Linked DNA regions of Diceros bicornis minor. The protein of the gene in region 4 interacts with the protein of the main gene of each other region in a pairwise test. Links are inferred from orthologs where the notes say so. Each region holds a gene or a part of one and is shown on either strand. Other genes may lie near its edges.

Region 1 (7,736 bases), on a different chromosome or scaffold from region 4:
GGGCCCTCTGGGAAGCCCCTCTCCTTGGGAAATCCCTCCTCTCCTACTTCTTGTTTCCCTCAGAGGCATTGTCTCCCTTCATGTTGCCTTCTTCTCCTGTGGCATTTTCACAATAGACCTTGATAATTTAGAAATTAACTTGTTAATTAAAAACTGAAAATTTAGCACTCCTTGAAAGCAGGGAGAGCTTAACTCCAAATCCTCCATAGCAGTGAGCTATTAAGTTCCTGAGCTAAGGCACCAGCTGGGGCGGCTGGTCGCAGAGGCTGCCTGACATCAACCTGCCAGGTCGTTTTGTACAGTTGGATGTCTTGTGCCTCCTCCATAGTGGACACTTTCTGGTGGGCGTGAACACACGATAGAGATATTAACACCACATGCCCCTTCCCCTAAGTTCAACCACACCATCTCACCCCAGACCTCCTCCTCCCTGATCTTCCGAGCCCCTGTCCTGCCAGCCCAATCACACCACTGTCCGTGTGTTCAATGCACGTTCCTGCCTTGGGCCACCTCTTGTACGTGAAGTGAATGACCAAGTGCACCAGCTGAAACTCTCTCCAGTGGGTTTTGCCTCCCTATTGTCTTTCAGGGCCACCCCTGGGTTGGACTTAAGCCAAATTTTAACAATTCTGTTCTGCAAAGATACTACTAAGTGAATAAAAAGGCAAGCCACAGACTGCAGAAAATACTTACAAATCATGTATCTGGCAAAGGGCTTGTATCAAAAATGTATAAAGAATTTTCAAAACTCAACAATAAAAAAACAAACAGCCCAACAAAAAATGGGAAAAGTTTTAAATAGACACTTCACCATAGAAGATGTTCAGATGGCAAATACATGCATGAAAAGATGCTCAATATAATTTATCATGGAGGAAATGCAAATTAAAATCACAGTGAGGTACACACATTAGAATGGTTCATGAGGATGTAGAGAAACTAAAATGTTATACATTGCTTGTGGGAATGCAAAATGATACAGCCATTTTGGCAGTTTCTTTTAAAGTTAACCATATACTTACTATATGCCCCAACAATGCCATTCCTAGATATTTACCCAAGAAAAAAATGAAGACTTAAATTCACACAAAAACCTATCATTAATAAATAACCTCCCAACCTGGTAGCAACCCAAATGTCCTTCAACTAGTGAATGGATGAGCAAACTCTAATCATCCACACAATAGAATACCATTTAGCAATAAAAAGGTGAACCACTATACAAGCAAGGACATGGAAGCATCTCGAAAGCTTTATGCTATGCAAAAAAATCCAGATTCAAAAGGCTGCATACCACATGATTCCATTTACATGACACCCTGGAAAAGGCAAAAATATAGAAACAGAACACAAATCAGTGGTAGCCAGGGGCCAAGAGTAGAGGGCAGAGTTAGTACAAAGGGGCAGCACAAGGAATTTTGTGGGGAGGTCACAGAACAGTTCTGCATCTCAGTTTTGGTGGTGGTTACGTGACCAAATGCATTTGTCAAAACTTGTAGAACTATATACCAGAAACAATGAATTTTACTGAATTGAATTAATTTTAAAAACTTAATTAAAGATTTCCAGTTAAAAAACAATTGATGTTTGCTGGCAGTAACCAACTATTTGATCTTACCTGAAAACCAGCATCTTTAAATTTTTAGCTATAGAATATAGACCATCTGTTTTAAAATAGCTTTCTCATGATGTCACTTTCTAAAATTTATATGTCTAGAAACATATAGGAGAGAAATTAGACTTGACCTCAAAGGGCCTGTGTGTTAAATCATTTCTTTCCCTTCATACCTGAAAATATAAGTGACAGATATAGAGGAAAATCTCTTTCACTTGTGAAATGTCAGACCCTCCAGCACGAAACCCGCCTGTTATCCAGCTGGGGGCTGGGAAGGTCTCCCCTTCGCTCAGGCCTGACGTTTTTAGCTCCAGCCTTCACAGGGAATGTGTGTTTGTTTGGAGAGGCTCTGGTGTTCAGGACTCTTCTCTCACCCTGGGGAGTGGGTCTGTGGCTTAGGGGAGGGGGCCCGACTTTGTTGTTTGTCTTTAGAACACGTGGTACTGGTGACTTTTTGTCCTCAGCTTGGAAAGCTCCTACTCCGTGCCCTGTTCCTGTACATCAGGAAAGCCTCGCAGAGCAGCAGGACCGCAGGAAGAGGCCCCTCAACGTCCGTGCTGAACACACATACTCGGTGTGGCCAGTTCAGTGTAGCATTTGGCACGGGGTGGGGGGAAGGACAACATATGGAGGAATCCAGGTGCCAGCAGAGCTCCCTCGATATGCTGACAAGGTCCCCAGACTGGATGAGCCCTGAGGAGACGATCATATAACTTGTTTTATACCTGCACAAGATGCTCAAAGTGTGTTTTTGAATACAGGAAATATGTGTTGGGATGGAGAGAGGAGAAATTGAAGGTGACAATGAGCAGCTTATTCAAGGAATGGAGGAGAGACTAAAAGTATAGTGCATTATAGACTGAGAAGCAAATTTCTGAATTCCAGACTTGGAAGTGAAGCAATCCTGTAATTATTCTAGGTTGCTAAAGAGAAACGGAGCTGGAGGTTGCTTGAGTTAAAGGAGCCAAACTGGGAGATTAGGGTATTGACTGGCTGGTGGCACCATTTGTTCATTCATTCATTCAACAAACAATTCTTGATGAGCACTATGTGCCACACACTGAGCCTTGGAGCTACAGCAATGAACAAACATTTTCTGGTAAATCCAGGGATGGTAGCCAGGGGACTTAATAAACAAGAAAGAAAGGCACTGTAAGATCATGATTTTGGAGTTGAGACTGCCTGGGTTTTGAATCCCAGATCCACTTAATAACAATGTGATTTATACATCACTTAACCCATTTGTGCCTCAGTTTCCTCATTTGTCAAATAAAAATACTAACAATGCCTACTTCACAGGGTTGTTGTGATTAATGTGGTAATTACAGATTCAGCGCAGTGCCTGAAACATGGTGAGCACTCAGTAATTGTTAGCTATTAAAAACATAAACAGGTACAAATTTCTAGTTATAAGACAAATAAGTCCTGGGGATGTAATGTACGGCATGGTGACTATAGTTAACAATGCTGCATTGTATATTTGAAAGCTGCTAAGAGAGTAGATCATAAAAGTTCTCATCACAAGAAAAAAATAATTATAACTACGTGTGGTGATGGATGTTAACCAAACATTGTGATCATCATTTTTCACATCTACGTATATCAATTCATTATGTTGTACACTTTAAACTAACACAATGTTGTATGTCAATTCTATCTCAATTTTAAAAGGTAAACAAATACATGTTAATGCCAGGTAGTGAAAAGTGCTATAAAGAAAAATAATTCAGAATGGGATACAGCGTGGTGGTAGGGCTATTTTAGATCAGGTGTTGAGGGATGGTCTCTCTGAGGAGGTGACTTATGAACAGGGACTTGAGAGGTGAGAAAGAACAAGACTGCAGCAGTCTGTGAGAGGACCATCTCAGGTGGCAGAAACAAAGGCCCTGGGGCGGGGAAGAGCTTCACCGCCTAGGAAACGTGGTGGAGAAAAAGATGCTGAGGGCAACTGGGAGCCAATCTCTAGCCCGATGTGCTTGGAAAACAGGCCACCTGTGGGGCTCTGATCACCTCTGGTAGGTGTCCTGGGGGGGGTATGTGAGGGGTCGCTGTGGCAAACTGAAAGCTTTAGAGATGGGGAAACAAGATTAACGGCATGTTATATGTAAAATGCTACTATTCAAGTTAGCAAATACAGCTCCACAGTCCCTCATCTTTTAAAAAAACAAAGCAATACAATGCCTATGACTGTATATATTTACATCCCATTACGGCCTGGAGTAAATGAATAAATATTGACACTAACGGGCACATATAAAGACCACAAATAGCCTCATGAGAGTTTAGTTGAGATTTTGCCTCCAAATGAGGCAGGGCGGGTTTTGTTGCCGGAGTGTTACAAAAACCTTTGGGCTTTCAGTGCTCTCTGAATTTTGGATTTCCACATAAAAGACTGTGACCCTAGAATAATTTCCTCCCAAGGGCCATTTGTAGGGTCAGCGCTCTGGGGAGCAACACGCAGAAGACAGAATAAAAACTCAAACGGAAAAATCTGTATAATTCTGCCTTAGCAGCTGTTTCTGAAACATTTCATATTTGCTAAGTATAAACTCCGGTTCAGAGGTTCTACTTGGGATGCTCCTCTCTCAGGTGCGGACGGAACAGCGCACCTGCAGGATTTTCGCGGGGAGGAAAGGAGGGGCGGCAGGAGCCCCGGGTTCGGCCAGAGGCGGCCCAGGCTCCGAGGGGACGGTACAAAGCTAGACGGTCCTGGCGACCAGGACGAGCTCGGACGAGGAAGAAACCGCGCCAGCTTTCCCTGCAGGCAGCACCTTTTGTTTCTCGGTGAACACGGCTGGGAGCAGGAGAGGCGGTGAGCCTCGGTGTCTCTGTGCTGTCTTCAGAGCACACGGACACACGGCGTCTGCGCTCCGCGGCACCAGACATCAGATGGCTGCAGACGGACGCAGCAGCGCCAACCTGGACGACGCCCCTTCCGCGCGGCGTTCATCACGCGCTCCGCCCGCCCCCGCCCGGCCTCCGCGGGCGCTCAGCCGCCAGGGGGCGCTGCGCCGGCCCGGGAGCGGCGCTCTCTCCCGCGCCGCCGCGGCCTCACATCCGGGTCTAGGGCCGCTGTCAGCCGGCGCGCGGCGGCCGGCGGGCGCGTCAATGGCGGCGGCGGGAGGCGGAGCGGCGGCGGCGCGCGGCCCCGAGCCCCCGAGCCTGTAGCCCCGAGCCACCAGCTTTCCGGGAGGCGCTGCGCCCCGGTGCGGACGGAGGGGAAGGGCGGGAGCCGGGAGGCTCGAACCCGCGGCGCCGGGAGCCCGCCCTCCGCGCCGCGCCCCCCGCCCCCGACCGCCGAGCGGGCTGCGGGCCTCCGGCGGCGGCCTCCCGGGCCTGCGCGGCCGCGGCCTCACCATGGAGGGCCTGACGCTGAGCGACGCGGAGCAGAAGTACTACGCGGACCTCTTCTCCTACTGCGACATCGACAGCACCAAGAAGGTGGCGGCCAACGGGCGCGTGCTGGAGCTGTTCCGGGCCGCGCAGCTGCCGCACGACGTGGTGCTCCAGGTGCGGCCGGGGGCCGGGGGGCCGGTCCAGGTGCGGGCGAAGGGTGGGGAGAGCAGGTCCAGGTGCGGCCGGGGGTCGGGGTGCCGGTCCAGGTGCGGCCAGGAGGCAAGGGAACAGTCTAGGTGCGGGCGACCGGTGGGCGGAGCAGGTCCAGGTGCGGCCGGGAGGCGGGGGGCCGGTCCAGGTGCGGGCGAGGGGTAGGGGGAGCAGGTCCAGGTGCGGCCGGGGGACGGGGGGCCGGTTCGGGTGCGGGCGAGGGGTGGGGGGAGCAGGTCCAGGTGCGGCCGGGGGGCGGTGCCGGTCCAGGTGCGGGCGAGGGGTGGGGGGAGCAGGTCCAGGTTGCGGCCGGGAGGCGGGGGGCCAGTCCCCGGGCTCCGCGCGGGGAACGCAGGTGCCGGGCGGCCGGGTCGCGCCGAGCCGCGATCAGAGGGTCTCTCTCGCGGGACAAAAGTCTTGAGTGAAAATGGGGATCCTGTCTCTCTCGGCTGCCCTCCGAGTCTCTTCTTCAGCACGGGGAGAGCCACTTCAGATGGAGGATCTGGAGTTGTTACCGTATTTTTGGGTCCTAGGTCCTGGTACTACATACATAGCTCTTCGAATCCTGCAGGGTAGTGAGGTTATCAGTATAGGTAAATGTTTTTAAGGCTTGAGTTAACCGAGTAGACGCCGTAAAGTGGGTTTTATAGATTTAGGAATCGTAGAAGCAGTTTTTTTAAGGAAGCTAAATTTTAGAGAGATTAAAAAATTTGAATTTCTAGCTAGTAGTTTGCAAGTAGATATGAAAAGAACTTGTAATTAACTGTGGAAGGTGTGGCTGATGTAAACTGGACAGTTTTTCGATTGGCGTTCGATAACATTGGGTGGAACCTGTGGATTTGGGCTGGGAGATAAGTAACGAATAGCTGGAAGTCAAACGTGCACCTTCGCCTGGGTCTGTAGCACTAGAGGAGCAAGCAGAGTAAGTTGTAAGCTTTTTGTGTCACATCGGTTTTTAAAATAGAAGGCTTCCTAGAAGTTCTTATCTAATATATGTGGTGAGCGTTAATGTGACTGTTTAATGTTAATGCTAGTAAGAGTCGGTCTAAACAGCGTATCAGGAACAGGTTTGAAGCGTTCATCTTTGTTACTATCCAAACCTCCAAAACTTAAAACCATATGCACAGGTATGATGTAGTGCACTGCAGAGAGCGCTGAATCAGGAGTTTTGATCCCACTCTGTGGTTAACTAGTGTGACTTTAAGCTAGGCACATAAGTGTGCTTGCTCATCCTTAGAATGAGAGTCAAGTTCCTTCTAACAAAAGTTGTGTGAAGCACAAAAATATCCGCCCAGGTCTCTGTCTTAAAAGTTACCTGTGCATTAACTCTAAGTCAAATGAGTTCCACCTTTCGCATAATCTCATGTTTGGTATTGCTTGTTTAAAATCTTGGGAGGAAAAGTTGGATGTCTTACAAACCAACAGCTAGGAGTCTCAAATTCATGCTGCTGAAAAGGGACAGAGAGTAAATGTTTTAGGCTTTGCTGGCCACGTACAGTCTCTGTTGACAGTTCTTTGTTTTTACAACACTTTAAAAATTTAAAAACCATTTTTAGCTCAGGGGCATACAAAAGAGGGCCTGTAGTTTGCTGACCCCTGCTAAAGAACGGTGGTGGCAGTATGGGGGTGCTACACTCTCCTCATATGGCTTTGGAGTCAGACTCGCAGAAAGAGGTCTGGTCAGAACATGCTCATTAATGATACTGCTCTTTCTGTAGAAATAACAAAACATACCTTCAAGTCATTTAGGAACTAAAATTAAGGAGAAACTTTCATGTTCTATTTTGGTTTATGTCTTTGGGGTGGGGGGGAGCTGAAATAAACTGACTTTCCTATTTTTAATGGTGCACGAAGACTTTAGGACTTTAAATGTATTATTTAGGAATAGACAAATTAGCATTACTTAACCTTTGCTTGAAATTTGTTTACTCGAACCCAAGTTATTTTTATGTTTTGCTCAACTTTATTGACATTCAAAAATAAATTTCTATGGCTTTTTTGTATAAAGAGAGAGCTTAAATAGCATAAATATTCAGGATTCAGTTACAAGGTGGAAGCTGTAGGAACTCCCTGAAGCAGAACTCTTACAGTAATTAATATATACTAAATAGCATTCTGGGTATCCTGAAGGCAATTTACTTAAAAATTGGCCTAAGACATAGAATATGAGACAAAAGGGGAATATGGACTTAGTTATCTTAAGGAAGTTTGAGATTGTCTGAAAACATAGCCCTTTTGCTTTCTAAGTGGGAAACATTTGGGGCAACTCATACATAATGTTTACTTAGCACTGGGCTACTATGAAGGACTTGGTGATCTGCAGGAATGCAGGTGTGTAACATAAAGCAGAACAGGAATGCCCTAAGAGAGGCACACAGGAGGAATGATCAGGAAAGGCTTCTTAATTCAGATGGACTTTCAGTTAGTGTGGGGGGAGGGCAGTGGAATGAAGAGGACTTCTAGGCAGAGAAAAAATGTGACCAAAGGTGGAAAGGGTAGGTGCCTTTTCAAGGACTAGCAGAAGGTCAAGTTTTGCTGAAGCTGGAGTATGTTTTGGGGATAATGGAACATAGGG
Region 2 (7,951 bases), on a different chromosome or scaffold from region 4:
TCACTACCTCAGGTGTGCCCTTAAGCGCGCTGCCTAGCAAGCCTATTACCCTCCCCTCCTCCACTCATTCTTCCGCCCTCCTAAACGTGTGTCTTACCCTCTTGCCCTTCAAACCTCCAGCTGCCAGCCCACCTATCTTCACCCTCAGCTGATGACTTTGTTTCCTGTCTCTTTCTGTCTCTTCTCTTTTCTCACAGAAAATGTCCACATGTTCCCATCACAGCGTCTGCTCACCTAACTGTCTGTATGAGCTGCCTTCTCTCCTGTTACCATGGGTGAACATGCCATGTCCTAGCTAAGGTCAAGCCCTCCACTTGTCACGAGACCCCGAACCTTCTCACCTCTTAGAGATGTTGTTCCAGCAAACGACCCCCCACCAAGTCTCTCCTGTGTTATCAGTTTTTTCTTTTCTCTGGATCATTCCACATATATATGTATGTGTGTATATATAATATATATGTATAAATAAGCATATAATTATGCTATAATTTCTCCTGTCTCAGAAGAAACTCTTGATCTACATATTCCTCCAGTTACCACCCCATTTCTCTGCTCTGCTTTACAACAAAACTCAAAAGAGTTAATACTCACTGTCTGTAGTTCCTCTCTTCCTATTCTTTCCTCAATCCATTCCAGACCCCCACCTCCACCGCCTGCCGTGGCCCCTCCACGCCATTGCTCTAGTCAAGGTTGTGAGCCTCGTCTCCAGCTCCATGTTAAGTTCAGGGGTCAGTTATAAGCCCACCTAAATTGACTTGGCAGCATGTGACACTCCCTCCTCCTCGAAACACTTCCTTTGGTTTCCAGGGCACCACTTCTGCTTTCTGCCCAGCTCATTGGCTCTCTTTCCCATTCTCCTTTGTAAGTTCCTTTTCATCTTCACAACTGAGAATCTGAGTGCCCCAGGGCTCTTCCCTTTTCTGTCTACACTCACTCCCAAGCAGTCCATCACCTCCTGGCTTTAAATGCCCTTTAAGTGCATAGGCTGATGACTCGGTAGCTCTCCCATTTCTCTCTCCAGACTTGTTTGGGTAGCCTCTTGCCTACTCCATATCTTCACGCGATTGTCCGATGAACATCTCACAGGTAAAGTGTCCAGAAACGAACTCATGATCTTCCTGTTCAATCCTGCTCCTGCAGCCTTCTTCATCTAAATGAATGGCAATCTGGTCTTCCAGGTGGTCAGGCCAAACATCTTGGAGCCATCCTCGACTTCTTTCTCTTTCTAATAGTTTATATCCCATCTGTCAGCAAATCACATTGACTCTGCCTTCAAAATTAATCAAGATCCGAACACTTCTTAGACATTGCTTCTGCCCTGGTTCAGACCACCATCATCTCTCGCCTGGGTCACTGCAGCCGCCTCCTAACTGATCTCCTTGCTTCTGACCTTGCCCTTCTGCAGTCTTTTCTCGTCACAGCAGCCAGAGTGATCCTTTTAGAGCATAAGTCAGTTTATGCCATTCTTCCATTTAAAATTCTCCAATAGCTTCCCATCCCAGACTAAAAGCTGGTTTTCTCACAGTCTCCTTACAAGGCCCTGGTTAGGATCTGGCCCCTACTTTATCCCCCTCACTTCCTCTGCTGCAGCCATTGGCCTTCCTGCTGTTCCTCAGACCTGCCAGGCACACTCCTGCCTCAGGATCTTTGCACTTGCTAGTCCCTCATTTGGTACATTTTAGCCTGAGAGATCCACGTGGTTTGCTCCATCACTTCCTTCAGGTCTTTGTCCAAACATCATCTGCTCAGTGAGGTTTTCCCTAACCGCCCAGTTTAAAATTACATTCCCTGCCCCGCCCTTCAGGCACTTCTTATCCTTCCCTGCTTAACCGTTCACCATAGCACTTATTACCATCTGATGTACAGTGTATTTTATTTGTTTGGGGTTTTTTGTCCATTTCTTGCCACTAGACTGTAAGCCCCATGAGTAGAGGGATTCCTGTCTGTCTGGTTCACTGCCGTATTCTCCGCACCTGGCATATAGGCACATAACAAATATGAATGAATGAATGAATTCTTAGTACTTCCTGTGTCTATGATGGTCGTCGTGACTATGATTAAATCGTTTTGCAGTACCTAGTGTGTCTCTACCTCTATAATAAAACTCAAGGAAGGCCGAGGCTTTGTCTTGCTCACCACTGTACTCCTAGAACTTGGTAGGTGCTCAATACATATATTTATTGCATGAATGAAGCTTTCTAAGTGCTCATCTGATCATCTTCACCCTCTGCTTCTACCCTTACTATTGCCCTCACGATCAAGCCTGAATCTCCTTAGCATGTCATAATGATCTTCCTCTTTACTCTCATGTCGTGACACTTTTCTCCTCCCTTCCACATCCTCTAAGATCCAGCCTTCCTCAAATACACCATGCTCTCACCACCAGGCCTTTGTACTCTGTTCTCTATTTGGAAAGCTCCACCTGACTAACTCGTACTTGTCCTTAAGGCTGAGCCGAGGTCATGTCTCCTGGGAAGCTTTCCAGACCTGTGAAGGCTGGTCTGTGTCAGTAGGGGGTGGGGGCACAGCCCACCTCCAGCTCAGTCCTGCCCAGGCTTCTGCTGACATATGATTGTTGTGTGTTGGGCCGAGAGGTTGAAAATTAGCTCAGAGAGAATGTTGATGTTGTAGAATGTAGAGTAATGAGAACGGTGGTGGGGGAGATGGAGGTTAGGGTGACTAAAAGCCAGACTGTGGGCTTCGGGCTGTCAAGACATTGTCCTCTAGGCCCTGAGGTCTCTGGAGCCGAGACCCCGTGGCTGGTCCCTCTGACTTGCATTTTTCCTCCTTCCTCTCTCTCAGGGGGGGATGTTACCATCACTGACCTGCCCCTGGTCCTAGAGCAGATCCAGGCCAACGTCCAGGCCAATGTGCCGACTGGAGGCCGGGCCCAGGTCCGCGCCTTGTCCTGGGGGATTGACCAGCATGTCTTCCCTGGAGACTATGACCTGGTGCTGGGGGCTGATATCGTGTACCTGGAGCCCACCTTTCCACTGCTGCTGGGCACCCTCCAACACCTGTGCGGGCCCCAGGGCACCATCTATCTGGCCTCCAAGATGAGAGAGGAGCACAGGACGGAGAGCTTCTTTCAGCACCTCCTGCCCCAGCATTTCCACCTGGAGCTGGCCCAGCGGGATGAGGATGAGAATGTCAACATCTATAGGGCCAGACACAGGGAACCAAGACCTGCTTGACGTCACCCTTCTGCTCCTCTGAGCCCCTGTCCTAAGGAAGAAACTGCCATATCTTCAAAGCCATAAACAGGATCAAAAGTATGGATTTCCCTTGCCTCTCTCTTTCCTCCTTCCCTCTCTGTTTCCCCAGATATTCTTAGGGAGGCGCCTGCTTGCTAAGAATCCTAGAGCCCTCACAGCACTGGGGTAGAGCACAAAGGAAGTTCCCAGCTCCTGTTCTCAGAGGAGGAAGACAGGAGGGTATCCAGGATTTTTAGGGGTAGGGGAGGCAAATGGATGTGAGAGCAGTGGCTGCAGAGACTGTCAGTGATCCCTTCCAGTCCTGCTGTTGTCTTTTTATACAGAATGGATTTTTTTTTTTACCAGATTCTAATGGAATTTTTTTAAAGGGAAAGAAATGAGCATTAAAGATCTTTCCTGCATCCAAAGAACTCAGACTTTTGCTGTGGGGTGGGAAGAAGAAACCTCAGACCACCCACTTCTTGCTTCTTGAGATAGAGTCTGCTGGGACCATGGCTTTAACTGGGTCACGTCCTCCCAGCCCTGAACTGGGGATCGGCAGCAGAGCTCTCCTTTGGACTGTAGCTTCTCCACTCTTTTCAGAGTTGAAGCCCTAATCACTAAGTACTGGGTTCTCCTCCTCTTTGATTTTTCTTTAGGTTTCCAAGCCCTGTCAGTCCTTCCTTCTTAGTGTTTTTTGCCCTCCCCTCTTTTCCCTTCCCACTGTGGTTCCTGTGGTTGGGGCTGTCTTTACGTACTCCTTGGGCCACATATCACCTTCCTCTGGCCTCCTGGCCTCCATTCTCTCCCTTCAAGCCACACTGCAAACTCTTGTGATCTTCCAGAATCAGCTGTGATTAGGTTCTGCTGCCTACAGAAGAAAGACGCTCCTCTGGTTGGTCTCAGTCTCTCCCATGTGACCCAGATTACCCTTGACTTCATTGCCTGCTGGTGTCTACATGTGTTGCAACCTCTGGCCAAATTACAGAAGGTCTACTCTCTGTTCCCTAATCTGTACCAAGATCCTCTGACTTCTTCCTTCCTTCCTTCTTTTTGATGATTCCCTGCCTGGAAGGGCTGTTTCTCCCTGTCAGAATCTTCATTACTCTCAGCCTCTTTCCTGGAAAGAGCTTTTCCTGAGCCTCCTGTTTGGATGTGATTTCCTTCTCCCTTGAGACCTTTTAACTATTTGTTCATCTTATGGGACTTACCTCGTCTTGTGTGTCATTTGTTGGCTCCCTATTTTCTCACCATTAGATTACCCTGGAGGGTAGGGCTGTGGTTTACTCCTCCCTGAGCCCCTGAAGGCTAGTACAGTTCCTGGCACGCAGCTGACGGGCAACAAATATTTTGCTCATTCAGCAAATATTTACTGGGTTTGTGGAAGGGACTCCACCCCTACCTCCTCAGGCCTCCTTAGCCAAATTTCTGAACCGCCCCCCTCCCACCTCACAAGTTTGTCATGAGTCATAAATGGATGATGAATATGAAAGGGCATTGGAAATAAAGAAGCATAAAATGTTACCACATGTCTTGGACTGTTATTTTGTGACAACTTTGTCGCATGGTTGGCGTTATTTTACCTATGGGGGTAATTCCTTGTGACACGTAGTCTCAATAAGCCAAGTAGGGGAGGTGAGTGTGCCCCTCCGGCCAGCAGGTGGCGCCACGCTCGTCTGGCGCGTCCGGGGAAGAGGTTTGGCCCCGCCGCCACGCCGTCGGCCTGTGACGTCACCGGGGCGCCGGCCGGCTGCGGTGTACAGCGGCCAAGGAGATGTCGCTGCTGCGAGCGCTGAGCGTCTGCCTCGTCGTGCGGCCCCGGCGCTGCCCGGGGAGGGGTCTTCGTCCCGGCACCGACCTGCCTTTCTTGCAGGTCTCCTGGGCCCCTGGGACGCACGCTTCCCTTCCTCCAACCCCCGTTCGACTCCATCCCTCCCTTGCCCCGACTTCATTGCCTCTGCGCGGTCCAGCCCCCTTCCTTGAGCTCCTGGCTCTTCTAAGGTCGCCCACCTGCCCGCGTGCTCTCCACCCCTGGGGCTTTTCGCAGCTGCCTGCTTCTCATCCCTGTCTTCTTACCCCTTCCAGGCGGAGCCCCTTTTGCTTCGGTCGCCCCAGCCATGGCACTCATTTCACGCCGGGTCCTGGCTGTCATCCTCGGCCTCCAGCAAGGAGCTGCTCATGAAGCTGCGGCGAAAAACGGGCTACTCCTTTGTAAACTGCAAGAAAGCTCTGGAGACTTGTGGCGGAGATCTCAAACAGGTTGGGGTGGTGGGGAGCAGGGCCGGTACTAGGGCCCGACCTCAGTCTCTTAGGGAGGTAGCTGGGGAGCATAGAAGTCAGACCTGCTGCCGAATGACCCATAACGGCAGAGCCCTAGATAGGATTCGGACATAAGTGACAACCTCACCCTTTGAGTCTGTCTTATTTGGAAGCAGTTGACTCAAGTTCCCAGGATTCATAAACCCTATTTCATGCAAGACTGCTGGGCTGTTTCCTGGTGCTTGGAGCTGAAAGGGCTTGTATTAGTTTTGGAGTCAGATGGATCAGGACTCAAATCATGGTGCCCTCACACTAACCCTATGACCTTGGATAACATTACTTAATCTTTCAGAGTTGCATTGTTCTTGTCTATATGATGAAAATACTACTATCTGCCCCATAGAGTTGTTGTGAAGATTAAGCTTATCCAAAGCAGCAGGCACAGTGTTTGGTGTTTGGCTTTAGTGGTAGGCTGCCAGTAAATGATAGATTACTTTAGTTTCTGTTATAGGATTGAGGGGAAGCAGGAAGAATTAGGGAATCTGAACATATTTTAGAGCCCCATTCAGTTTTAAATTCTGCCGTTTTTCTTTTCAATTTCTAGGCAGAGAGCTGGCTCCATAAGCAGGCCCAGAAGGAGGGCTGGAGCAAAGCTGCCAAGCTCCATGGGAGAAAGACTAAAGAAGGGCTGATTGGGCTGCTGCAGGAAGGAAACACGTCGGTGTTAGTAGAGGTGAGTTGTCAGAATTCCTGATACCAAGAGCAGCTGTCCCTTGGGTGCAAGGCTTTGTGGTAGAGCCTTTGCATTCTTAAGAGGTGTTTGAGAACCATAAAAGGCAGTTGGGGGGCCGGCCCGGTTGCGCAGTGGTTAAGTGAACGTGCTCCCCTTCGGCGGCCCGGGGTTCGCAGGTTCGGATCCTGGGTGCGCACCGATGCACCGCTTGTCAAGCCATGCTGTGGCAGCATCCCATATAAAGTAGAGGAAGATGGGCACGGATGTTAGCCCAGGGCCAATCTTTCTCAGCAAAAAGAGGAGGATTGGCATCGAATGTTAGCTCAGAGCTAGTTTTCCTCACCAAAAAAAAAAAAAAAAAAGGCAGTTGGAATGAAACCCATGTGACCACAGTTATTAGCTGTGGATTCATTTAGGTATAGAAATGCACAGGTGTGTTGATGAGAAAAGGTCTAGCAGTCTAGAATATTACTCCTAAATGTGAGTCTAGTGTAGCCATACACCTTATCATTGATTGTTTCCTGGAACAGTCAGTTTTTTGTTTTTTGTTTTTTTTTTTGTGAGGAGGACTAGCCCTGAGCTAACATCTGATGCCAGTCTTCCCCCTTTTTTTTTCTTGAGGAAGGTTGGCCCTGAGCGAACACCCGTGCCCATCTTCCTCTACTTTATATGAGACGCCGCCACAACATGGCTTGACAAGCGGTGCATCAGTGTGTGCCCAGGATCCGAACCTGCGAACCCCGGGCCACTGAAGCGGAGCGCGTGCGCTTAACCGCTTGCGCCACCAGGCTGGCCCCGGAACAGTCAGATTTTAAAGCTAGGAATTATATTAATTAGTTGATAGATAGCTGGTAGCTGTTTTAGAGGGGTTAGGGACCACAATTGGTAACGACTCAGATGTGGATTCGTTTAGAGTGAGAGAAGGAGATAAGCTGACAGCAAAAGTGGTTTGGGGTTGGAGGTGATTTTGGCGTGCAGCTGCAGGCAAGTGGTGAACCGATAGTGAGTCCCTTGGAGACGTTGTGGAAACATCTTCTGAATGTGCGGGTCATTGCCAACTCACTGGCAGAGCAGGAATCACTTCACTCAGTTTCTGGCCTCAAGCTACAAGAGGAACTGCAGCTAAAAAATTCTAGAGTCAATTATTTCTGTTTTGTTGAGTCTGTAGCTTGTTCTATCAATACCTTGGTTTATTCTCCAACTTGAAGGCACTTTTGGAAACTATCAGTAAACAGCTTATACAGCAACATCAATTTCTTCCCACAGGTAAACTGTGAGACAGATTTTGTTTCCAGAAATTTAAGATTTCAGCAGTTGGTCCAGCAAGTAGCCCTTGGAACCATGTTGCATTGTCAGAGCCTAAAGGATCAACTCTCTACGTACAGTAAAGTGAGTTTTGGGGTTGTCTCCAGCATGCTGGATTTGTCGTCCCATCCATGGTCATCGTGTGTCCTGTCCCGTCCCCTCCCCACCCCCCAGCTTTTCCCTTTTTCAGACGTTCTTATGTCTCCCTCCCTTACTTCATGTCTCTACTTAAATGTGATCTCTTTGGAGAGGGATACCTTTCCTCCTGTTGCTCTATCCTCTTATTTTGCTTCATTTAAAAATTTTTGTTATAATGCTTATGTGTTACATTTTTATGTATTTATATATTATCTGTTTTCCCCAATAGAATATAAGCTTCATGAGGCAGGAAATTTGTCTTTTCACTACTGTGTCTCTGGTGAAAGAAAAGTGGGCCCAGCACTTGGTTGGGACTCATTAA
Region 3 (6,964 bases), on a different chromosome or scaffold from region 4:
GTTCCTGTGTGCAACTAACATTCAGCCGACGTGCACAAACACTGCTGTCATTTCTGTGTCCAGAGGGTGTGCTTCACCTGGGTCGTCTCAGTTCATCCTCCCCAGCTCTATGGGGTTTTGTGAGTCCTGTTTTACAGATGGGAAACTGAGGCTCAGAGAGGTTAAATAGCAGGCCAAGGCCACACAGCTAGTAACTGGCAGAACTGTGATGTGAATCTGCACCAGCGGCCCCATTCCTATGTCATCCACCCACAGATAACCAACCATCTTCCCCTGTCTTCCTCCTCCTCTGGTCGGTGCTCACCTGCTTCCTGGCTCCCGAGAAGTGTGCCAGGGGACTTTCCTGAGTCACCGGGTCATTGAGGGAAACAAAACATCCAGCTGGAAGCCTCTCTCCCCCGGGTCCCAGCCCACTTTATATGCACACACGTGAACACATGTACACATGTGCACATGAATGCATGCACACAGGTACACAACCGGCACACGCACACACACGTACACGGTAACAGATGCATACACACATGCACACACAAACACGAATATCTACACACACCCACACATGCACACACACACCTCCACACACGTGGCACATACTCAGGGAATCCTCAAGGATGACCCCAGCTTAAGCAAGAGAACTCCACTCCCCCCTTTTGTCCTGTCGACCGCTGTGGCTCTCCTCCTTTAGACTCTGGTGGGACCTCATCACAGTGCCCGCCTCCACTCGCAGTGCAGACAGGCATAGCAGAACCTCCTCAGCCACTGGACAGAGCCAGGCAGGGTCTACACACACACACACACACACACACACACACACACACACTGTCACCTCCAGCGTGCCAGGCCCTGTGCCCAGAGCATCGCCCTCTCTCTGCCTCATTTGATGCACACAAACAAATCCGATGAGGACCATGACCCCATTGTACAGAGCAGGAACCTGAAGCTCAGGGAACTAAGAGGTTTGCCCAAGGCGCCCACAGCTAGAGAGGGACGGCACAGCACTGGGACCCAGCAGTGTGGGACCCAGGGACTAAGCCAGGCCCTGGATACACACAGTGAGCAAGATAGACCTGGGTCCTGCCCAGGGGGAGGGAGCACCCAGGCTCCTGGGGAGGCAGACAGGGAACAGTCGACAGAAAAATAAATAAAAGCAATGACAAATTCCTATGCCAATGAACAGAGACAGAGAATAACAAGGAGAACCTGCTTGAGATGGAGAAGGCAGGGAATCCTCTGGGGGAAGACATTGTAGCCAAGACCATAAAGATGAGCCAGAGTTGGCTTCACAAAGAGAGCCTGGAAAGGCACGTGAAGCAGAAGGAACGGCATGTGCCAAGCCTCAAGGGAGCCCCACGCAACCCCAAGGCCGCCCTGCATTTCCTGAGCCGGCTTCACGTTAGCAGCCGCCTCGTGGTCTGTGTGGGCTTGATAGCTCTGCTGGACACAGTTACCCAGACCTCACCCTGTAAAGGCTCCCTAATCAGCCCCTCTCTCACCAGGTATTAAAAATGCCAGAAGCAGGGAAACCCCCTCGCCCTGCCCCCAACATTCCTTCCAGATAGTTTTGCTGACACAGCTTTTTTCTGGGCCTGGGTGAGGGCCCGCAGTCCCCGAGTTTCTGGTGATGATGGTGATGACTTTGCTGTTAACCCCTGGACTGTGACCCCTGGAATTCCACCAGGGGTTCCAGAGAGGTGGCCCCTTTCTCTTGTTCCGTTTATTTATAATGACGGCCCTCCTCCGGGCCAGAGGAAGCCTAGTTTTATTTATACATCAATGCCCCAGAGGGTAGAGGGGCCCACCTGGCACCTTTGTCCCCAGGCTGACTCTGGGCTCCAGCTGGCAAGTCGGGACAGCTGTCAACTGCTCAGAAATCACAGACTCATAGAAGTTTGAAGCTGGGAGGGGTGGCATTTCACAGATGGGAAATGTGAGGCCCAGAGATGCCTGGATTCCCCCAAGGCCTCCCAGCCTGAGCCAGAGCAGCAGGAAGGACGGAGGGATCCTGGCCATGTCCCCTGCCCTGGAGAGTCTCCATGGGCAGATGGAGTGACGGGGGCCAGATGTTTGCGTAGTGAGGCTGCACAGCCAGGGGGTTGAGAGCAGGCGCCTAGAGCTGGCTGCCTGGGTCTGAATCCTAGCTCCTCCACTCTCGAAAAGTAACAACCCTCAGCACCTCCTCTTCCTCATCTGTGAAATGGGCTGATCACAGCGCTTAACCCCGAGTATATATAAAGTGCTTAGAATAGCACCTGGCACATGCTAAGGTCTCTCTCTGTGTTCAATAAATACAGCGTATGTATACACATAAACAATAAATATGTGGAAACTGTTAATCTCCTGCCAGAACTCCTGTTTAACAAGAGGAGGAAAGGGCCCAGAGTCGTCGAGTCACTTGCCCTGGAACACAGAGCCTGGCACACACAGGATCCCTTCCGTCTCTGCCAGCAGCCAGGAGGGGTGTGGAGGCTGAGGCCTCTGCCCCCCCGGATGGTGCATTCACCAATGTGTTCCAGGAGACGGGGGACAGCTCCTCTTCCCTCTGTCTCCAAAATCAGACCACTGGACCCTGAAAAGTGCCCCCAACCCAAGGCAGCTCAGGGCTGCAACTGCTCCTCATTCGGTCCCCCCTTTAGAAGGGGGAGGGGGCCGGAGCAACTCGACCGAAATCGACAGGGTGCCTGCCTACTCCTGGACCGAGGCCGCCCCTCGGAGAGCTCCTCGCCGGCTCCTCTGTCTCCGGGGGGCGCCGGCCACGTCCTTACCTGGCTCCTCCCGCGTCCTGCTTGCCCTTTACTTAAAGAGCAGCTCTAGCCGCTGATGGGTTCCGCGGGTCCCCGAGGAGACCCTTCAGACGGCTCGAGCCGGCCGCGCTGGAGAGAGGCCCTAATTGGGGCAATGAATCATCGAGCGCGGCTCCCGGCTGGACACAAAATAGATAGAAGAGCCGGCGAGCCATTGTGCGCAGTTTGGGACGCGGGGGGAGGGGGGAGGAGGAGGGGGGGAGGAGGAGGGGGGAAGGAGGAGGGGGGAGGAGGAGGGGGGGAGGAGGAGGGGGGGAGGAGGAGGAGGGCGGGCGGCGAGCAGGGCGCGCGAGGGAGGGATTCCCCCGCCCGCGTGCTCCCGCCTCCCGCCCCGTCTCCTCCCCCTCCTCCCGCGCGCCGCCCGCGCCCCGCCTCCCTCCTCCCCAATTAAATGACCCAACGCTTTGGCAGGCGCCGGAGCTCGCACATGCGGCCGCCGCTCCAGCCGCCCGGGGCCCGCCGCCGCCGCTGCGTTCCGGGCGCGCTCGCCGCGGCGCCGCCGGGGGCTCGGCAGGCCGGGGGGGCGCCCCTGCTAGCGACCGTGCGCCCGCGCCCGCGCCGGCCGGCCGCCGCCAAACTTTGCGGCGCGCACACATGCTCCAAGTTGGGCGCGGCGGCGGCGGCGGCGGCGCGGGCGGGCGGTGAGGGCGGCCCGGGGCGCGCGGGCGGCGCGGCGCGGCCATGAGCGGGCGGCCGGCGCTGGTCTCCCGCAAGCAGCGGCTCATGGCAGCCGTGGGCGAGCGGGCGGCGGGCGGCGGCGGCGCGCCGCTCTCCTGCTTCATCTGCGGCGGCGGCATCGGGCGCGGCAAGGAGCTGAAGCTGCAGGTGAAGCAGCCGGCGGCGGCGGCGGCGGGCGCAGGGGCCCCGGCGCAGCCCTTCTTCCCGTTCCTGCAGCAGCAGGAGCCGGCGCCCGGCGCGCGCGAGCTGTCCCCGGCCGACGGCTGCGTGCTGGTGTGCGCCGTGTGCCGCTGCTTCCTGGGCGAGCAGTGGGCGGCCTTCGAGCGCGCCCGCACGCCCGTGGACAAGCGCATGTACTGGCTCAAGCGGCCCCACCAGTGCGACGCGGGCGCGGGCGGGCGCCGCGGGGGCGCAGGGGCCCCCCGCGAGTGGAACGTCGCCTACGCGCTGGGCGGCGCGGCCGGCGACGACGACGACGGTGGCGGCGTCCCCGGGCCCCGCGCGGCCGCCGAGGAGACTCGAGACTCCGAGCTGTCCGAGCTATCGGACACCGACCCCCTCTCGGAGCCCGACCCGACCGCGCGTGACGCCGCCAGTCCCCACCAGGGCGGGGCGCCGGCGGCGCGGGCCACCCCGGGGCCGGGGCCTCTCGGGGGCCGCTGCCAGGAGTGGAGGCCGGCGCCGGTACCCCCTCCGGGACAGGGCGCGGAGACCCCCGCGCAGGGGGACGCGGAGGAGGAGGGGGTCCCCTCGAAGCTACACGTGGACGGGGAGCCCAAGACCGGCATTCGGCGCCGGCGGAAGGGCGCTGGGAGGCACTGGGTCCCTGAGGCCCGAGCCAGCGTCCTGAGGGGCATCCAGGACCCTTGGCAAGACCCTCCAGTCCGGGTGGCCCCTGCAGATAGCATGAAAGGAGCCCCGTCGGGCAGGGCCGCCAAGACTCCCGAGGGCAGGCCCCTGGGGGAGCCCCGAGGAGGCTGCTGCGTGTCTGATGACAGTGACATCAACGTCACGAGCGAGGAAGAGGACGGCAGGGAGCAGCCTCTCCCGGGCTCCTGCGGCCCCAAAGAGACGGAGAACGGTGGTGGCCGCGTCCCCCGGGCTCCCCTGGAGGGCCGGCCTGCACCACCAGAGGGCCTTTGCTGCTACATCTGCGGGTCGACGCTGTCCCCAGCCTCGCAGCACCAGATCCACGTGCAGAAGCAGGAGAGGCTGGCCCAGGCCCCCTTCTTCCCCTTCCTGTGGCTGCACAGCCCGCCCCCCGGGGCGCAGCCCATCAGCGAGGGTGGCAGCACCCTGGTGTGCTCATGCTGCTTCTCCTCCCTCATGCAGCAGTGGCAGAGCTTCGAGCTGGCCCGCGTGCCTGTCCTGCAGCGACTGTACGTGGTGCCCCTGAACAGCCACGCCCCCGGCATGGCCTCCAAGGGCAGGAGGCTCCCGAGGGAAGAGGGCCTGCCGGCTGGGGCCCTGCCAGAGGCCTGCTACCTCTGCGGGGAGGACTGTACCCAGGATGCCCGGGCAGTGGCCTCCAGGATCCTCAACGGCAACGCCAGGGGCTCCATGCATTTCCCCTTCCTCAGCCTCCTGCCCTGCCCCCCCAACGCCCGGGGCCCCAACAAGCGCTGCGAGGTGCGCAGCTGCCCCAAGTGCTTCAGCGTCCTGGAGGATGTCTGGGCCCTGTACCGGGCCTGCCAGAACGAGGAGCTCATTACCTCGGTGCAAGGCTTCCTGGGCCGGTACCACCAGGCCTTCTCCGCCTGGGACCCTGCCGTCTCCGAGCCACCCGCGTCGGTCCAGGGCGGCCCGGCGTCCGTCTGCTACATCTGCGGGGCTGAGCTGGGCCCCGGGAGGGAGTTCCAGCTCAACGTGAACCCCTCCAGCCGCTTGGGCGAGAAGGAGCCCTTCTTCCCCTTCCTCACTGTTTACCCGCCCGCCCCGCGCGCTAGGCCTGCCGACTCCACCGGCCTGGTGTCCACCTGTGTGCTCTGCTACCACGACCTGCTGGGCCAGTGGCTGCAGCACGAGGCCCGCGGTGCCCACCACACCATCAGCGCCTGGTCTCGGCAGTACCAGGTGGAGACGTTTGTGTGCTTCTTCTGCCAGCAGGAGAAGAAGCGATGTCTTGGGCTGAAGGCCGTGCGGGTTGCCCGGCTACCCTTGTTTCTCTACACCCTGCGAGCCAGCCACAGCCTGCTGGTGGACGACGGGCGGCAGCTGATCATTGGCGCCTGCGTGGAGTGCGGGACCCTGGTGTGTGCTGGCCAAGGACTTACCCGCCAGGGACCCATGGGCTGGAGCTCCCCAGTGGCAGCGGCTATGAAGGTAAGCAGCAGTTCTCATCTCCTGCTCTGAAATCTGCACAGGGAAGGAAGAGACGTTGTTTTCTGTTCCTCTGCTGGGGAGGAGTTTGCACTGATTCTGAGCCGTGCGTTCCAGCAGGAGGTGCCCCCCCTGGTCTGGCACTTGGTGGGTATGTTGGCCTGGCTGAACTTGGAGGCATGTGCCAGCTCTGAGGAGTTGGGGGGCCAGGAGCGGTCTTGTGGAAGAATAGGGCGGTCCTGTGAGCAGTAGGCATGGGCCTGAACTTGAGGGTGTTTGCAGCAGAATCTGTCAAACGGAGGAAGTTCGGGGCATGTCTGTCATCCGCCTGATAACATTGGTAATTAGTCCAGCCACACAGGTCACGGAGAGGTCTCGGCACTTACCCGGTTTGAGGTGGAAGTTCCTCTCTACTCTAGCTCCTGCGTGGCTTAGCTTTTCCAGAGTTTTCCACCCAAGTTCACACTTTTCCTTTGAGACGCTGTGGTTGCTTAACAGCAGATGGAAACAGATTTCCAGACGTGGGGGTTTGGGCCCCGGGGGATAGTGGCCCGAACAGACTTTTCCCCCGGTGGGAAATGTCTTTCTTCTCTGCAAGTCAGCTGTGCCGGAGGAGGGCAGGGGGGCCTGGGTTCGCCCTCTTTGTAAGGCGCCTGCCTGCAGGCCGCCTGCCAGGGAGGAGCCAGACCCGGCTCGGTTAATTTTGGATCCAGATTTGCCAAGGCCAAAGCAGGAACTTCCCCCCGGTGGGTGTGGGGAAGTAAACGTCCGTGCGTTGTGATCCCCCAAAGCCGGTTAGACCGACTTGTTTTAACAGATACCCGGAGTGGTAGCCGCTGGTGAGGGGCCGGCAGAGGGACGGCGAATGGGGAAGGGTGTCTCCGGCCTGTTCGGGAATGGTCGTTCCATCCGTTTGAAAGCTCCCTGGTGCCGCCTCCCGTGTGTACATGCGTGTGCACGTGTGTGGGGATTCCCGGGCTGCGTGTTCGCTCACAGTGGTTGTGCCTGTAAAGTGGACCCTGCCACGATTTGCCCGCCTCCCCTCGTGTCCAGCCCTCACCTCCACGCGCTACCCGGGCTCCTTCTCTGCCCACGTCCTCTTTGGACTTTAGGCTGTTGTGGGGGCTTTGGTGGGACGGCCTCTCCTTTTACATGGACGAACA
Region 4 (7,881 bases):
GTCTTTGGAGGATATAGAATCATTCCTTCAGGAGCAAAGGAGAGTCAAGAGTTCTTGTCATAGATTGCAAATAAATGGCCACAAATTCTGTTCAGTGCTTCCCATCTAGTGGAGGAATCTATTTCTCCATCCCTTAAATCTGGGGCTTGGCGTGTGATACGCCTTTGCCCAATGTGACATCAGTAAATGACACACAAACACTTGAAAAGTGCTTGTGCACTAAGGATGCAGGCTAGGCTTTTGAGAGATGAGACCATTAAAGAAAGAAGCTCAGCCATCCCAACTGCCGCAGATGAGCCCAACCCCCACCTAACCCACAAACTGACTACAACTGCATGAACAGCGGAATAGTTTAAAGCCACTAAGTTGTGTGGTGAATTGTCACAAAGAGCAAAGCTAAACTCATACAGTTCTGCCACTTGTTTTTGTAATGAGCTCTAAATATCATATCTTTTAAATATATAAAAATAGGACATTTCAATTATGTAATAGTGCTTTGACCCAGTGAACAGTTTAGGGATCAAACTTCAGGTGCCAGTCCAAAGAATAGAGGCAACAGGCATTGGATCCTTTTACTCTGTTTATCCAAGGGTGGGGTTGTTTTTAGAATATTTTATTCAATTCCCATATCTTTAAAAAAAATAACAGCATTATTGAGATATAATTCACATACCATAAAACCAACCGTTTTAAAGTGTATAACTCATGAAGGATATCAGTCTATACTTCCATTTTCTTGTGGTGTCCTGGGTTTTGGTCCCTGGGTGATATTGGCCTTATAAAATGAATTGGGAAGTGCTCCTTCTCTATTTTCTAAAACAGTGTTATTAATAGGCTTAGTTTTCTTGTCTTCCTTAAAATATTTGATAGAACTCACCAGTGAAGACATTCAGACCTGGGCTCTTTGTGAGAAGATTGGTATTTACCGATTCAAGTTTTTTACTCTGATATATGTCTATTTAAATTTTGTATTTTTTTCTTGAGTTAGTTTTGGTAACTTGCTCTCTCTCTAGGAATGCCTCCATTTTCATCTATTTTTAAAATTATTGGAATTATGATGTTCATAATATTCCTTTTCATTTCTGTAAGGTCTATCGCGTTGTCCCTTTTTTCATTTCTCATTTTGGTAATTTGTGTCTTCTCTTTTTATTAGTCAGTCTAGTTAAAGGTTTATCAATTCAATCTTTTCAGAGAACCAGCTTTTGGGTCCTTTTCTCTATTTTCTTGTTTTTAATTCATTGATTTCTATTTTGATCACTATTTCCTTACTTCTACTTAATTTAGGTTTGATTCACTCCACTTTTGCTACCTTCTTGAAGTGAAAGCTTAGATTATTGTCTTCCTTCTAATATTAGTATTTAATGCTATTAATTTCCCTCTAAGCACAGCTTTAGCGGCTTCCCTTAAATTTGATATGTTGTATTTTTGTTTTCATTCAGTTTCAGATATTGTCTAATTTTCATTGTGATTTCTTCTTTGCCCCATGGATTGTTTAGAAATGCGTTGTTTAATTTCCAAATATTTGGGGATTTCTCAGATTCCTTTCTGTTGTTGATTTCTAATTTAATTCCATTGTGGAAGGAGAACATATTGTATGTTTTCAATATTTTTAAAATTTACAGAGACTTGTTTTGCTGCCTATTGTATGATCTATTCTGGACAATGTTTCATTTGTGCTTGAAAAGAATGTTTATTCTGTTGTTGGATGGAGTTTCCTACATTATGTCAAATATTTCAAGTTGGTTGACAGTGTAATTCAGGTCTTCTACACCCTTGTTGACTTTCTGTCTTGTTCTATCAACTGCTGAGACAGGAATTTGAAATCTCCACCCATAACTGAATTATCAATTTCTCCCTTTAGTTTTCATGATTTTTGTTTTACGTGAGTTAGAATTTCTTTTGTTTTTAAGGCTGAATAATATTTCACTATATGTATATACCACATTTTATTTACCCTTTCATCCATTAGTGGCCACTTGGGTTACTTCCACCTTTTAGCTATTGTGAATAATGCTGCTACAAACATGGATGTACAAATATCTCTTTGAGTGCCTGATTTCAATTCTTTTGGGTATATACTCAGGAGTGGAATTGCTGGATCAAATTGTAATTCTATTTTTAATATTTGGAGGAACGATCATAGTGTCTTCCATAGCAGATGCATCATTTTACAGTCCGTCCAGCCGGTAAAGCCATGGGTTTTTTACCTCTCACCACAAATTGAGTCCATCCTCTCTGGTAGCAAAGCTGCTAGTTTTCTTAGCCAGCCCCACCCACATTGGTAAAACTATAGTTATGGGGCAACAGAGAAGGATTGAAGCCGGCAAGAACATCATGGATATCTACTGTTCCTACTGGAACTTCTAGCAGTTTTTCAAGAATAGATGTTTCTCAAATTGTTGTCTCTGTTTGATTTCCAGTGCCTTGAAACGGTAGTTTTTGACAATTTTGTCCAGTTTTATACTTGTATTGTGTGCAGAGGAATTGTTGACCATGTCACATAGCCATAGCTGAAAGTCTCTTCCATAGTTTCTTTTTAAGTAGGAACTTGTATTAGTTAGGATCTTTCAATGTCATGTAAAAAAATCCAACTGAATTAGTTAGGACTTTTAGAATTTTGAGTCACAGAAAACTCCCAATACAAACTGGCATAAACAATACAGGAAATTTATGGCTCACAATTGTAAACAGTCTATAGGATGGGTCAAACAGGTGAGGTTTGATAGCACAGCTCTAATGATGCCATCAAACACAAGGTTCTCCTTTCCAGAACTCATTTGACAGCATTGACTTCATCTTCAGGCTCTACTGGTGCCTTTCCCCTAAACCCTATCCTTTCAGGCTTTCTCCTTGTAGGAGCCAAAAGATTGCCACATTTCCAGACCTCACATACTTATGCCATACTAGAAGAGTAAGGATGCTGCTGTTTACTAGAAACCCCAACTCAAGTCTCTGTGGGGCTCATTGGTTCTGAATGGGTTCTATGACCATCTCTGAAACTCTCAGCTACCAGAGAGAAGGATTATGCTGCATGGGTTAATGGGAAGAATGAATGCTTAGGAGAGAACCAACAAATATGTTCTATAACCACACAAATTAGCCCTAAATAATAAATAAATAAATGTATTGGCTCACCCAGCTAGGCTCACAGACTCCAAGCACTTATAGAAAAGCTATACAAAACTCAAGGTTTCTGAAACTGAAACCAGTCTTCACGCTGCCATCTCTTGGTTTCTCTCCCTTTCCATTCCCGCCCCACCCGACTACCCCCTTTGGCTTCATTCATTCCTAATGTAGACAGCCCTCTTTATATTGTGAAGAACATGGCAATCAGCAGCTATCTCAGTAAACACCTTTCTTCCCTCCCTGCTCTGTGTCCATATAGCATTTTAAGCAAGGGCTCAATAACGCCCCAACTTGGATCAGTGCCTATCTGTTAGCCCAATTAGTGTTGCCAGAGGCAAAGTGTATTGTAACTGGCACGGGAACACGCCCAGCCCAGTGGTCCGAGGTCACTGTTCTGTTGCCAGAAGGGCAATAAGCAAGCTTATCAAGCAGTCAGAAAACAATGGCTACCACACACCATCTTGGTATCTAATTGTGGCAGGCTCCTGAATGCCAGGCTGAGGGGGCTGAACTTTACTGGGTAGGAAATGCAGAGTACAAGGGAACGGCCTATTGTCAAATGTAAGGAAAGCTGATCTGGGAGGTACAGTGCAGGATGGATCGCAGAGGTCAATCTAAATAGCTAATGAAGTTCTAAAGATAGTATTGCACTAGGAATGGAAGCGATGGGAAGGACCATCTATCCCAAATTGTATTTCCCGTAATAACTGGACAAATTTTATAAAACAAGAACACTTCAAAAGACCCCTGATTTCCAGCCATGCATTAGCAGAACAATTCTTCAAGCCTTTGTGAAGGATTTCTGGAGGAAATCCAGTTATTTCCAGTCTTCCTCGTGATTCAGTTCTATTTGCAAGCTAAACATGCGCCCAGGCAGTTCTAATTCAGGTGTTGCTTTGTAAGTGTTGAGCCAAAGAGGGGATGGAAGACAGCAGTCCCGCCGTACCGCAAGAACCAAAGCGGGCCCTCGTCAACACCCATTTTAGGAATTTTGAGGCTGTCCCAGCACACAGTTTTATACTAGCCCGTACTCAGAGGCCCAAGGCGCTTCCCCTCCCTCCTCAAAGAAGGAATCCCCACCACAAGCAAAAGACTCCCCACCCAGTACTCGGCCAGGAGGATGCCCCACCCAGCAGCAAGCTGGTCCGGCCTCCTAGGCTGGTTTAACTGGTTAGGACGACTGAAACCCGCTGGCACAAAAGGTCTGAACTTCGGCAACTGACGAACAGGCTGGCCCGAGCATGGAAAGGAAAGCTCTTTTCTTTCTCAAGACCACCGCAGGAACCGCCCCCAAACCATCTTCAGCGATATTTCACTCAGGCTAGACCTACGTCCCACCCAGCCCCCCAAGACCAGGAACTGCGCAGGCGCTCGTAAAGCACTGGCGGCGCGTTCTGTGGCGCGCTTCCTCAGTCTCCTCAGAGAGCACTTGGGGCCGAGGGAGGCGCGGTGCCTCCTGGGTATTGTAGTGCACTTTCTGGACAAAGGGCGTTCCCGTAGACTGGCGCTGGGTTTCCGAGAACTACGCCTCCCAGTGTGCTCCGCGCGAGGGCACGGGGCGTTGCCCTTGCGGGCCATGGCCGTCAGCGCCGAGAGGAGGACCCGGGAAGCCGACCGCGGCGGGAGGAGGGAATGCGCGTGCGTGCTGGGCCGGCTCGTTCTGTTCCGTCCCAATCATTGTAAACAGGCGGAGGCTGGGGCGGGGTGGGAATGGGGCGCCCCAGGCCGGTCGGGGGCGCAGCGCAGGAGGCGGCTAGGGTGGCTGCGGCGGCAGCGTGAGCGCGAGGAGGCGGCGGCTGCGGCGGGGGCGGGCGGTCGCGCTGCTGCAGGCACAGGTCGGTGACGGGCTGCGGCGGTGTGCGGGGGTCGCGGGATGCCCCTCGCGTGCCGGGGCAGCCCTCTCCGCGGCCGCGGCTGTCAGGCAGCGTGCGGGGCTGGGAGCTCGCGGCGCGCGGGGCTGGAGTTGGGGTGGGGGGCGTGGCTGCCCCTAGTGCGGGTTCCTGCCGGGCAGCTCTCTCCCCGGTGCTCGCTCTTCTGCCGTCCGTGCCTCCCACTTGCCGGCCGGGTCCCCCTCATGGCATCGCATCTGCGATTCGGTGCTCTCGGGGGCTGGAGGAGGAGGGTCAGGAACCGAGCCCTCCACCCCGAGTCTGCAGGCCTCAGGGCAGCGCTTGGGCGCACCGGAACGGAGGAGAGGGACTCCGTCTTTTATGTAACCGTACTATTTTCCAGTCGCACCCGGAATGTTGACCCGTGTCCAGTGCTTGCCCAGTGGACTAGGAGAAGGCGCTTGATGTTGCCCAGCGCTCGCTGGCGTGGAACAGTGGGGCTCCTTTGGGTGCTGCGATCTTTAGTTCAGGTTTCAGTGCGAATGGACGGACAGATCTGGAGTTGAGAATTCGTTTCACAACTCATTTTCAAGTATACTTGTACCAAAATGCTCTTATTGAGGTCAGGGTTTTTTTGTTTTTTTTGTTTTTTTTTAATCGTTGTAAGGGTAAAACAGGTTTTACAAAATATTCCACACCTCAGTCTTACCTGAAGTCAGGCTGTTTCAAGTTTTGGGATTCATTCCTACAGAGCCTCCCTCTTGAGCAAGCAACATGTTTCCTCTAAGGCCTAGTGGAGTTCTTTAAGGTAATTAAAATGTTAATTCGAGATATTTTGAATGTGCCTGAAAAGAAGTACAGTCGTTTGGACATTGAGTTAACACACCATCTGGCCTCATTGGAAGAGCTTTCCCTGAATGTTTTGTTTAGTGCAGTGGGCATGTTCAATGCTGCAGCACTTTGGGTAGCATTCCATCATACTTGGCAGTTATTCACAAAATATTTAAATGGTGATAAGGGACAGGCCCACTTTTGGTTTGGTGATCACGGAGACAGCACTTCTAATGAATAAATGGGACTCTGGATGAGAAAGATAACCTCACTTTAGCCTTTCAAACTGTCTTGGTGATTTGATAATTCATTTCTGTGTTTCTTCTTGAAAATGAATAATGCCGGTAAGCTGTATTGGCAGTAGTAGGGGTAGGAAGGAAGTTAGTAGAGTGGTTCCCACTTTTCAGAGTGACCCGTACTCCAAGTGGTGTAGGCTAGTTTAACAGTAACTGTTGAGAAGTAATTCTTTAAACAAAGTATCTTGAAGCAATGTGCCATAACCTCATTTGCTATCTTTTGAAGACATTATTTCTCATTTTAGACCTTTCAGGGACCATTTCTCCCCTAATTTAGAAAATAGAAATGGTATTAGAAAATGCATATTAACTTTAATTTGTACAGTTATGTTTGCACAGTTGTTTGCTTTGTAAGGAGAGATTGGGCCCAGAACGTAACCTGAAAGTATGTTTGTTCTTTTTTGAAAGAAAATCCCTGATAGAAGCTTATGTTAGTATTTGTGGAGGGAGTAAGGAAAAATGCAGATCGTTTGGTAGAGAGGAATTACTGTGTTGCAGGTACTGTGCCAGGTGAACAGGACTTAAAGATGCCTTCAGGGTGGTAAGACTTTGTTACTTGAACTGTCAACAACTACAATACGTTTTTAGGATTGCTTTGATTGGAGAAAGTATGGGAGTACAGTGGGTATACAAAGGCAGTAGTGGTCAGTTTCTTGAGGGAAGAGGAGATTGAGGAAAGGGGCAGTGGTAAGGACAAACTATAATAGGACGTGATGAAAACAGTAAGTGTATATAGGAATGGAAGGGATGGGCATTTAGGTAGAAGGAACAGTGTGAGCAAACTTACACTGGCATCTAAACTTACAGAGTGAATTGTAGGATCTGCAAGTGCAGCTCCTGAGGGTATAGGGTGGTGGCAAGACATGAAACTGGGGAGGTAGGCAGAGACCAAATTATGTCTTGTATACAGTCGAAGTAATTTCAGCTTTATCTCGTAAGCAAATAGGAGCCAGTGAGAGAGGATAAAGAAGAGAGACCTGAGCCAGCTCGACCCATTTTTAACTCCCTGTCGTGTGTCAGGTACTATATTAGATTCCTTATACTTTATGTCCTTAAACTTAAAGAAAGCTTAGGCATGACTGAGGCAGAAAGTGGGGGAAAGGCACGTAAGGCAGAGGGAAAGTTGGGCATGATGAGAGAGAGTATGGAACACTTTTAAGAATGGGAAGTTGTTCTCTATAGCCGTAGCGTTGGGGTTATGGTGGTAAGTAGCAGAAGTATTGCATGCCATTCTAAGGGTTTTAGAGGTTTTTTTCTATAGATAATAGAGTTTATGGATTTTAATCAGGAAAGACACATGGTAAGGTTTTCATTTTAGAAAGATCACTCCAGTATTATAGGGTATAGATTACAGAAGGGAAGGAGGGCAGATAACACAGGATGCAGAAAGACTGCTTAGGAAGTTTTTGTAAAAATTGAGGTGAGAGGCAAGGGTCTAAACTAAGGCAGTGTCAGTGGAGATCCAGAGGAGTAAGTTAATAGCACAAATATTTAGAAGGTAGAATTCATAGGATTTAGTAACAATTGGATGTGGGGAGTGAGGGAGAAATGGTAGGATAAGATGACTTGGATATTAACTTGGGTGATTGAATAGACAAAGGAAAGTACACTGAGACTGGGAATTCAGGAAGAGGAGCAAATTTGAGGAGGAACAGTATTTTAGCTTGTGGGTATATTGAGTGGGAGTTATCTGTGGAACATCCGGGTGGAAACATCTACTACAGAGTTGGTGTGGGGTTTGGAGTACAACACAGAGGTCTTGATAGGAGAGTCATCGGCTATATTATAGGGGGTAGCTG

The links.
Region 1: the proteins of RALBP1 (region 4) and REPS1 interact in binary tests that used the Homo sapiens proteins (3 or more experiments, as listed by UniProt). The link is inferred for Diceros bicornis minor from reciprocal best matches to the Homo sapiens genes RALBP1 and REPS1.
Region 2: the proteins of RALBP1 (region 4) and TSFM interact in binary tests that used the Homo sapiens proteins (3 or more experiments, as listed by UniProt). The two-hybrid records come from large-scale screens. The link is inferred for Diceros bicornis minor from reciprocal best matches to the Homo sapiens genes RALBP1 and TSFM.
Region 3: the proteins of RALBP1 (region 4) and GSE1 interact in binary tests that used the Homo sapiens proteins (3 or more experiments, as listed by UniProt). The link is inferred for Diceros bicornis minor from reciprocal best matches to the Homo sapiens genes RALBP1 and GSE1.

Annotation. Positions count from the first base shown.
Region 1 is NC_080762.1:23,077-30,812, forward strand, and holds the start of REPS1 (ralBP1-associated Eps domain-containing protein 1), read left to right. Parts: upstream 1-4,736; 5' UTR 4,737-4,972; coding exon 4,973-5,125; intron 5,126-7,736. UniProt on the Homo sapiens protein: May coordinate the cellular actions of activated EGF receptors and Ral-GTPases.
Region 2 is NC_080756.1:11,214,068-11,222,018, reverse strand, and holds the start of TSFM (elongation factor Ts, mitochondrial), read left to right. Parts: upstream 1-4,940; 5' UTR 4,941-4,968; coding exon 4,969-5,067; intron 5,068-5,279; coding exon 5,280-5,453; intron 5,454-6,057; coding exon 6,058-6,186; intron 6,187-7,452; coding exon 7,453-7,575; intron 7,576-7,951. Other genes in the region: EEF1AKMT3 (EEF1A lysine methyltransferase 3), read left to right, coding at 2,803-3,194. UniProt on the Homo sapiens protein: Associates with the EF-Tu.GDP complex and induces the exchange of GDP to GTP. It remains bound to the aminoacyl-tRNA.EF-Tu.GTP complex up to the GTP hydrolysis stage on the ribosome.
Region 3 is NC_080771.1:34,077,637-34,084,600, forward strand, and holds the start of GSE1 (genetic suppressor element 1), read left to right. Parts: upstream 1-3,963; 5' UTR 3,964-4,388; coding exon 4,389-5,804; intron 5,805-6,964.
Region 4 is NC_080755.1:7,477,733-7,485,613, forward strand, and holds the start of RALBP1 (ralA-binding protein 1), read left to right. Parts: upstream 1-4,879; 5' UTR 4,880-4,961; intron 4,962-5,208; exon of another isoform or gene 5,209-5,763; intron 5,764-7,881. UniProt on the Homo sapiens protein: Multifunctional protein that functions as a downstream effector of RALA and RALB. As a GTPase-activating protein/GAP can inactivate CDC42 and RAC1 by stimulating their GTPase activity.